Cricetulus griseus: one gene and its partner. The main gene of each other region encodes a partner of the protein of the gene in region 2 in a complex. Links are inferred from orthologs where the notes say so. Each region holds a gene or a part of one and is shown on either strand. Other genes may lie near its edges. The genes, in order: Hsf2bp and CUNH19orf57.

Region 1 (4,416 bases), on a different chromosome or scaffold from region 2:
GACAAACAGACAAAGTGTGTGGGTGGGTGTGGAGGATGAAGAAAAGAGTCCATGGCAATGTGGTGTGTCTGTGTGGTGAAAAAAGTAAGTATGAGCCCTAGGGGAGGATTAGCAGGAAAGAGTAGGTATTTTGGGGGAGCAGGAGTGGATCCCATTTTTGACACTGGGACAGCCAGGTTAGTACCAGGCTAGGAGCACTAATCTGAGGGGAGGGTAGCAAAAGTCCACCTGGGCTACCATGTTAGGTTTAGGAACTACCAGCACAAGTATTAAGGAAACTTGTAAACCTGAGAGTAAACCGAATTTCCTGGGGCAATCCTTAACAGAAACATTATGGGGGTGGGGAGGGATTGCAGCTGCCAAGTCGGCTCAGTAGATAATAGCATTTGGTTCATAAGCCTGTCTACCTGAATCTGACCTCTGGATTCCAGGGTGGAACGGCACACATGTAATAATTAAAAAAAAAATTATTTTAGTTTTTATTCCTCTATCAGACTTCCCACAAAAGGTTCTCTCTTCCTTTTTTAGAGATAAGATCTTACTTGTCCTGTGGCCATGTCTGCCTTCAGCCTCCCAAGTGCAGGAATTAATGGTGTGAGCTACCACATGGGGCAGATTTCAATTAAAGAAAACTTTCTTAGATTTGTTTTAGGTGTATGTGCACCACGTGCATGCCTGGTGTCAGCAGAGGTCAGAAGGGGGCGACTCCTCTCCACTGGTTGTGAGCTGCCATGTGGGTACTGGGACTCAAACCGCTGAGCCATTTTTCCAGTTCCCCATATTTCAATTTTAAGCAGATGTCTGGCTGCAACCTGAAACCTCCACAGCACGCTGCAGTCCAGACTCTGGATCGCTTAAGTAAAAATCTTGCAAAGCACTCCACGGCAGTTTAAAATCCAAAGGAGAAAGCCAGTGATCTGGTCACATTGCCTCCAGGCTCAACTTCATCTCAACACGCCCCGCGCGCCAACTTTTGGGTTTCTCTGGCCTAGGGCACCCTTAGCTCTTTCCTGCGTCTGCCTGGCTGGCTTCCTCCTTTCAAAGCCTCACAGTGCACAAGAGGCTTCCTTTGGAGAGACTTTCTCCTGCACTTTTCCACACTACTGGCATAACACACATCCTCCACCGCCACAGGTCCTGCCACCACACTGCCAGAGTTCCTCCGGGGCTGGAACACAGCCTCAACTCTCTCCCGCACACCAGCGCCTGCAGGCGCTGTGCAAGGGAAGCAAACGAGAAACGCAACCGGGCCTCGGCGAGCTGGGCTAGTGCTGAGCTTGGACCCGGAGCTCCCGCCGCAGCAGCCGCACAGCCCGCGGCAGCCGCACCCGCACCCACAGGCGCGACCCTCGCCGAGCGCAGCGACGCGGACCCCGGCCCGCACCTGTGTCGCTCTGCGTCCTCGCGCTGAGATACTGCCGCAGCTTCCTCACTGCGCGGTCGCGGACACCCTTCTCGCTGGAGGCCAGCCGCTGGGCGAACTGGAGCTCGGCCGACTGCATGGCGGGAGCCATCGCGCCCGCTCCAGCATCCCCGGGGGCCGCGCGCGTGCGGCTCGCCCGCCGAGCAGGCTGTATACTGCGCCTGCGCACGGGCCGCGGCGCGCGGGGTGATGGCGTCAGAGGCGCGCCCGCTGTGCCGCGCCCGGCGAGCCCGCGTGGCCGTGGCGCGAGTAGACGCTGCCGCCGCGTCCTGCCTAAGTACGTCCTGGGGGGGCGGTGGGTGGTCCGAGTTCAGTGCGGTTGGCGTCGGGGTTAGCTGGGGTCGGATTTCCTCCAGGAAGACGCCTACGGCTGGATTGACGCGGTCTCGAGTCTAAGCGCAGCTGACAAGGCTGGGTCCGGGGGGGAAACGGCGCTGCAACGGCCCCCGCTCACCCGGTGTCTGCAGAACTCGGCGGGCTCTCCTGGGTGGAAGTGAGACCCAGAGGAAAGGGCGTCATCCAGGCTGCCCGGGTCTGATGACTACCCGGGGCCGCGCTCCCCCGCCTCCACTTCCCCTCAGCGTAATGCCTGGATGCAGGCGCAGCGTTGGTTAGAGCGAATGGTCGCCTCCCGTCGGTGCCCGCGACAGACAGGGGCAGGGGTGGCGAGGAGACCTTGCCGTGTTCTGGGACAGGTGCGGGGCTTGGCGAGGAAGAACAGCCCATCCCTGCAGCATCAAGGGCACATACAGGGGTGTGGCGTGGAGACAGCGATCCATTCCTGGGACAGTTCAGGGGGTATGGAGTGGCAAGAGAGCAAAGCGTCTTGGGGCAATTGCAGGCTTGTTAAATGGGGAGTTGCCAAAATCCAAAGCCAGAGCGTCTGGGTTAGGTGCAGGGATGTCCCCCCTCGCCCCCCCACACACAATAGAGGGGAATGACCTGTCCTGGCAGCAAGCAGGGGGAAGATTTGGGAATCTAACGGGCCCGGAGGGAACTTGACTCTGTCCTTAAGTCATGCAAAACACACAGTTCTGAGCCGTGGTGTCTTGGGGTCTCTATTGCTACAGTGAAACACCATGACTAAAATGCAAGTTGCAGAGGAAAGGGTTTATTTGGCTTACACTTCCATATTATTGTTCATCGAAGGAAGTCAGGACAAGAACTCAAACAAGGCAGGAAACTGGAGGTAGGAGCTGATGTAGAGGGCATGGAAGGGGTGCTGCGTACTGGATTGCTCACCATGGTTTGGCTAGCCTGCAGGACCACCAGTCCAGGGATAGGACCACCCACAATAGGCTGGGTCCTCCCCCATCAATCACTAATTAAGAAAATGCCTTATAGCCCGCTGGTGATGGCAGATGCAGGAGGATCTCTGTGAGTCCGAGGCCAGCCTGCTCTACAGAGTGAGTTCAAGGAGAGCCAGGGCTACACAGAGAAATCCTGTTTTGAAAACAACAACAACAAAATCCCTTACAGGTCTGCCTACAGCCTGATTTTATGGAGACATTTTCTTAATTTCTTATTATTTTTTTAATTTGTTTTTTCAAGACAGGATCTATCTGTGTAGCCCTGGATGTCCTGGAACTTTCTCTGTAGACCAGGCTGGCCTCGAACCTGGAGACCCACCTGCCTCTGCCTCCCAAGTGCTGGGAGACATATTCTTAATTGAGGGTCCCTCCTCTCAGATGACGTTAGCTTGTGTCAAGTGGACATAAAACCACTCAGCACAAGTGGGAACATACTAATCCCACAAGAAACAAGTCTTAACAATTGTGCTAACTTTAGGGACACCAAAGCCCTAGGTTATCAAACATACTCTGTGGATTCATTAGCACGTTGGGGGAATTATTAGATTAGGATATCCTTCCAAACTTTGGTTATTTAATTTGGATTTCCCTCCATGTAGCCCAGGCTAGACTCTCCCTTGCTATGTAGCAAGGCTGGTCTTGAACTCCTTCCACACCCAAGTGCTGGAATTACAGGCGTGTTCCACTACACCCAGATTCAAACTTTGGTTATTGCATACTTCATTTACCTGGCCTTATGGATACGAAAACGTATCCCTCAACACAGAAGCGCTCTGGGCCAAGGGAGGATGTTCTGCGTCGTTTCTCATAAAGAGGGTGTGGATTTGGCTGTAGCATGCTCCCTTTAAACAGGAAAGGACAGATTCTGCTTATTTTGACACCCTGGCCCCATTTTGCAGGTGACGAAATTAAAACAACTGAAGCAGAAGAGCTGCAGCAGAGTCGGGTCAATCTTATGTTTGGACCCAGAGCTCCGGAGAGTACAGCGCAAGCTTGGCGATATTTGAACCTCGCGGCTTCCCGTCTGGTCCCAGCATCTTCCAGTTCCCGCGCTTTCTGACCACTCAGTGAGCTCCACGCAGGCGCACGAAGCAGCGGCCGGCCGCAACCATGGCCACAACCCGGGGCGAGGCGGCTGCACTAGGCGAGGGATCCGGTACTGAGGAGGCCTTCCGGGTCAGTGAGATGGTCCGGTGTCTTGCACATGGGAGCTGCTGACTCTCGCTCCCCTCAGCGCGGGTCCAGAGCCTGAGGAGACGCCCCCGTGGCTGTGAGGTGGCCCAGGGCGGGAGACTCGAGGCCCCGCGGAGCCTGAGCCCTCTGAAGGCCCTCGGTCAAGTTGAAAAGTGGTGGCCTAGGTCTCAGACAGTGAGGGTTTTGGGGGAACCAGAGCCGTGAGTGAGCTCAGTCATCCGGGTTCTGCCCTTGGGCCTCCTCGAGGCCTACTTCCGGTGTGACGCCATTGGTGAATGTTAGGGGTTGCCCGGAGCCCCCCACAGGGTCTCTTCCTGGAGCCCTTCAGCCTTGGGCACATTAAATTGCAGGCGTTTTCTTTGGCTTTTAGGCTCAGCTGTGCGGCTTTTATTGCCCCTTAAGTATTTACACTCCCTCTAACGCTGGCTGTGTTCCTACCGAGTCAGAGCCTTGGCACGCTGCTCACGGCTGGCTTCCAACTCCTGGGGA
Region 2 (4,314 bases):
TCAAACAACCAGAGGTTTTTTGTTTGTTTGTCTGAAACAGGGTTTCCTGTGTAGCTTTGGAGCCTGTCCTGGAACTCGATCTGTAGACCAGGCTGGCCTCCTAATTCACAGAGATCTGCCTGCCTCTGCCTCTGAAGAGCTGGGATTAAAGGTATACACCACCACCGATGCCTAGCCCAACCCGATTTTTAAAAATCTAGACTAGAAATAGTCACACACCAGCTGATCTGGCATTAGCCCCTGAGCTGGCTATACTTCTGTCCTGAACCCTGAAGTGGGAAAGAACTCCTGGTCCCCTAGCCTTAAGACCAGTGGCTAGGGGAAATAGTGGGAAACTTCCACTTTTTACTATAAATCCTCCATAATTTCTGTTAATTACTAGCCTGTACTAAAATTTCCCTATCTTTTAGTTTTGGGCTGTCATATTATCATTCTGGTGAAAACCAACAATTAAGTGCTACTGAGAGCTGGGTGAGTGGTTCCAGCTACTTGGGAAGCTAAGGTAGGAGAGTCACCTGAGCCCAGAGGTCAGGGCCAGACTTAGCCAGATAGTGTGTGGGAGGGAGTACAGGTGTACAGGTCAGAACACAATGCCACTGGTCATTCTTCAAGAGCCTTTTTCCTTGGTGTATGTGTATGTGTTCACCTGCATGTGTAAGCCAGTGCTCTTGCCTGAGTGTGAGTGAGTATGTGGACGTCAGATGTCAATACTAGGCATCTTCCTTTATCTGTATCTTCTAAAATTTTAAAATTTTGCTTATTTGGGTATTTTGCATGCATGTATGTCTATGTGCCACATGCATGCTCTTGGAAGCTGGGAGAGGGTGTGGACCTGGAGTAACATACAATTGGCTGTGAGCTTCCATGTGGGTTCTGGCAATTGAACTTGGGACCTCTGGAAAAGCAGCTAGTGATATTAACTTCTGAGCCATCTCTCCAGCCCTACATCTTATTTTTTGCAATAATATTTCTCACTGAACCTAGAGTTCCCCGTTGTATCTAGATTAGTTGTCTCCACTTCCCCTCTAGCGCTGGGGTTATAGATATGCACATTACATCCAGCTTTTATGTGAGTGTTCGGAATCCAAACTCAGGTCTTCTTGCTCACACAGCAAGCTCTTTAATCACTGAGCCATATCCTCAGCTTCCACCTTGTTTTATGAAGGTCTCTCACTGACATGGAACTTGCCTGGCTAGACTAGTTGGCCAGCAAGTCACTGAGATTGCAAGCATGGGTCACCATGCCTCTGGCCTTTTAAAGATGAGTCTAGAGATTGGCTCAGGTCCTCATGCTTGTTTGGCAAGCATTTTACTGAGCCACCTTTGTAACCCCATAGTGAGATCCTGTGTATTTGTAAAACATCAGAACACCTGAGCTTGGTGAACAGGCCTATCATCTCAGCACTTGGAAAGCTGAGGCAGCAAGATAGATAACAAATTCAAAGCCAGCCTGGGCTACATGATGTCAGGATTTCTATCACTGTGATAAAACATTATGACCAAAAGCAAAGTCGAGGAAGAAAGGGTTTATTTCACTTACACTTTTACATCATAGTCCAAGGGAGTCAGGGCTAGAACTTGGAGGCAGGAACTGAAGCACTGGCTATAGAGGAAAGTTACCTGCTGGCTTTCTTAAATAACTCAGGACTTGCCCCCAAGCAGCACGCCCCCAGTGAGGAGGGCCAACCCACATCCATCATTAATCAAGAAAACTTTTTGGAAGCATTTTTTCAATTGAGAGTCCCTTTTCCCAAATGACTCTAGCTTGTGTCCAACCGACATAAAACTAGTCAGCATGCATGGCAAAAATACACTCCCATTTCAAAAACACATACCAACCACAAAAATAAATGGTCAACTTTGGATGGAGATGTAGTTTCATGGTGGAGTACTTACCATGCAGGAGACCCAGTGTTCCAGGCCCGGTACCTCAAATAAATAAGTGAATATTAAAAAGCCAATTTGAAGCCAGATGGTAGTGGCACACCAGACAGTGAAAGTAAAGGCAAGAGGATCTCTGTGAATATTAGGCCAACCTGGTCTACAGAGCCAGTTCCAGGGGGCTACACAAAGAAAGCTGTGCCAAAAAAAAAAAGCAAATAAGACAATAATAATAATAAAAAAGCTAATTTTAACAAACCAAATACCTGAGTCCCGCTGCTGCTTCTTCTTATTCATTTTATCTTTCCCTGAGAAATCTGAAAACAACAAACAAACTCTCCAGCTATCGCCAGCACTGTATGTCCCCATGTTTCCCTCTTCCACTGGGCCCATCTGGCAGCCTGATGGGGGAGTCAGCTAGTCTCCAAGAGGACACTGGGTGGGATGCCAGATCATAGTCATCTAGGGCCACGGCGGGGTAGGAATTCACACCCCTTCCCTGTGTGAAGGAACTATCTTTGGTTCTCCTCAGGATCCTTACTCTAGTCTCTGGGTTGGAGACAACTATGCTTCACCCCCACCCCCATGGTGCCCGCCAAAGCTCATGTATATGGGATGTGGGGTACTTGGAGGCTTTTGAGAGGCCACTGGAGACCCACCAAAGTCACAGAAGGCTTTAGCAGGGCCACCCGGGGCAGGAGTCGCTTCTGGCCAATGTCTTCGGGCTGTGGAACCAGGCAAGCCAGAACCAACCTGGGCCACAGCAGAGATGGAAGTCGCTCTGTCCTTAGTAGGGACGAGGTCAGCTGGGATCCGATGGGGAATAAATCTCCTAAATTACTTGTGTGAGGTTTTGAGAAAATGACCACATCGGCAGTCATGGGACCGCGTGGCCGACTGGTGCTGGGGACGCGAGGGCCTGAGGCCTGGCACCGTGGACCCGACACTCCTGGCGACCTGCCTCACAGTGAGCGACAGCAGTAACACCCCCACACCTCCACAAAGCGTGAGGCGCCACGACCCTCTAGCTGTCACTCCGCCGCGCCCTCACACCTGCAACCCCTACCCCTTTCCCGCCCGCGAGGCTCCGCCCCACGCAGCGCAGTACCGGTGCCGCGCCTTACGCATGCTTCGCCTCCTCCCCGCGCCGCCTCATGTCAAGCGCATGCGCGTTCACGCACTGGCTGCAGGGAGTTGTAGTTTAGTTAGAGATCCCGCGAATCCTGTGGCCGCGCTCCCGAAGGCCAAGGCGGAAGCAGGGTGGCCAAAACTCGAAAATTCCGGGGGCCGGGCACGGAGGAGGGACTCGGGGCTCAGGAGCACAGCGAGCTCAGAAACCCGGCTTCGGGGAAGAGGCAGAGTAAGACCAAGGTGCCAGGGCTGATAGTCCAGGCTTCGACCCTGGAAGATGCACAAGAGGAATGGACCCCCGGCACCCCCGGGCCGAGGCGCTGTCACCGCCCGCCAGGTGAGTGTGCGCCACTCTGCCCACCTAGGGGTCTCTCCGCACCCTTCCTCAGGGTCTGTCCCCACCCTTCCTCACACTCGAGGGGCGTGCCCTACCCCCAGAAAAGCCTGATCCTCGCTAACAAGTGAACCCAAGTCCCCGCCCCCCAGGTGAGGCTTGCTCCGACTGTAGGGCCTACTGGCCTGAGCCATGCAGCTTCTGGCTCCCCACCCAGGTTTTGGGTAACACCTGTTGCTGCAGCAGTTCCAGCCGAGCAGAGGCAGCCATCAGACCAGCTTTTCCAGCCTTTGCATCAACTGGGCCAGGCCACACTCTTTACTCCCATTGTATTGATGAGGACACTGAGGCTCAGGGAGACGAAGACCTTTAACCAAGGTCATAAGATCGAACAGCCTGGCCAGACAGAAATGTCAGTTCAGAGGTGTACAAGACTGTGGCCCAGAGCCACACTCCCAAATCCAGAGCCTGTGGGAGTTTGATTTGTCTCAGCTTTGAACCAGGGAGCCTAGGGCCTAGCTCAGGCTCAGGTCTGAGTCTTCCTGACTACAGGTTCCCTCCTGCCCTTGGTACATTTGACAGATGTATTTGTAGCTCTGAACCTCAGTTTTCCCACCTGTGGAATGGAGGCCTGGAAGAGTCCCTAAATGGCAGGACAGTTGCAAAGACTTATTGAGATTGTTTATGAAAAATGCTAGAACATAGTGTGCAATTATTATTCCCAGTAGGTAAAGCCATGCATAATTGCTAGTATTTGACCAATTTGGACCCACAGAAAGGGTAATTTCATGTAACTCATCATATTCTACTGGTCATTAGCCAAAACAGGAGGACAGGGCTACAGAAAAGATCCATTTTTAATTTAGACGTTGTTGTCAGGGCTTTCATTTTTAAATTTTTTTCCTTGCTATGCTGGGGATGGAACCCAGGGCTTTACACATGGTAGGGTTAGGGTTAGCACATTATTG

Evidence for each region.
Region 1: the proteins of CUNH19orf57 (region 2) and Hsf2bp are in contact, whole or in part, in a crystal structure (PDB 7Z8Z), measured with the Mus musculus proteins. The link is inferred for Cricetulus griseus from reciprocal best matches to the Homo sapiens genes BRME1 and HSF2BP. Residues at the interface, in NP_083321.2 of Mus musculus: Met541, Gln542, Asp543, Ala544, Thr545, Val548, Arg549, Leu551, Val552, Leu555, Ser556, Asn559, Ile562, Met563, Thr565, His566, Leu569, Lys573; in NP_083178.1 of Mus musculus: Glu23, Phe24, Val25, Lys26, Val27, Arg28, Asp31, Leu32, Arg34, Leu35, Glu38, Val39, Gln41, Ile42, Phe45, Leu46, Arg48, Ile49, Glu53, Leu54.

Annotation. Positions count from the first base shown.
Region 1 is NW_023276806.1:260,329,464-260,333,879, reverse strand, and holds the start of Hsf2bp (heat shock factor 2-binding protein), read left to right. Parts: upstream 1-1,589; 5' UTR 1,590-1,700; intron 1,701-1,728; exon of another isoform or gene 1,729-2,221; intron 2,222-3,632; 5' UTR 3,633-3,843; coding exon 3,844-3,909; intron 3,910-4,416. Other genes in the region: Rrp1b (ribosomal RNA processing protein 1 homolog B), read right to left, coding at 1,385-1,514. UniProt on the Homo sapiens protein: Meiotic recombination factor component of recombination bridges involved in meiotic double-strand break repair.
Region 2 is NC_048596.1:160,269,809-160,274,122, forward strand, and holds the start of CUNH19orf57 (uncharacterized protein C19orf57 homolog), read right to left. Parts: upstream 2,972-4,314; 5' UTR 2,275-2,971; coding exon 2,148-2,274; intron 1,930-2,147; coding exon 1,897-1,929; intron 1-1,896. Other genes in the region: Cc2d1a (coiled-coil and C2 domain-containing protein 1A), read left to right, coding at 3,290-3,349. UniProt on the Homo sapiens protein: Meiotic recombination factor component of recombination bridges involved in meiotic double-strand break repair.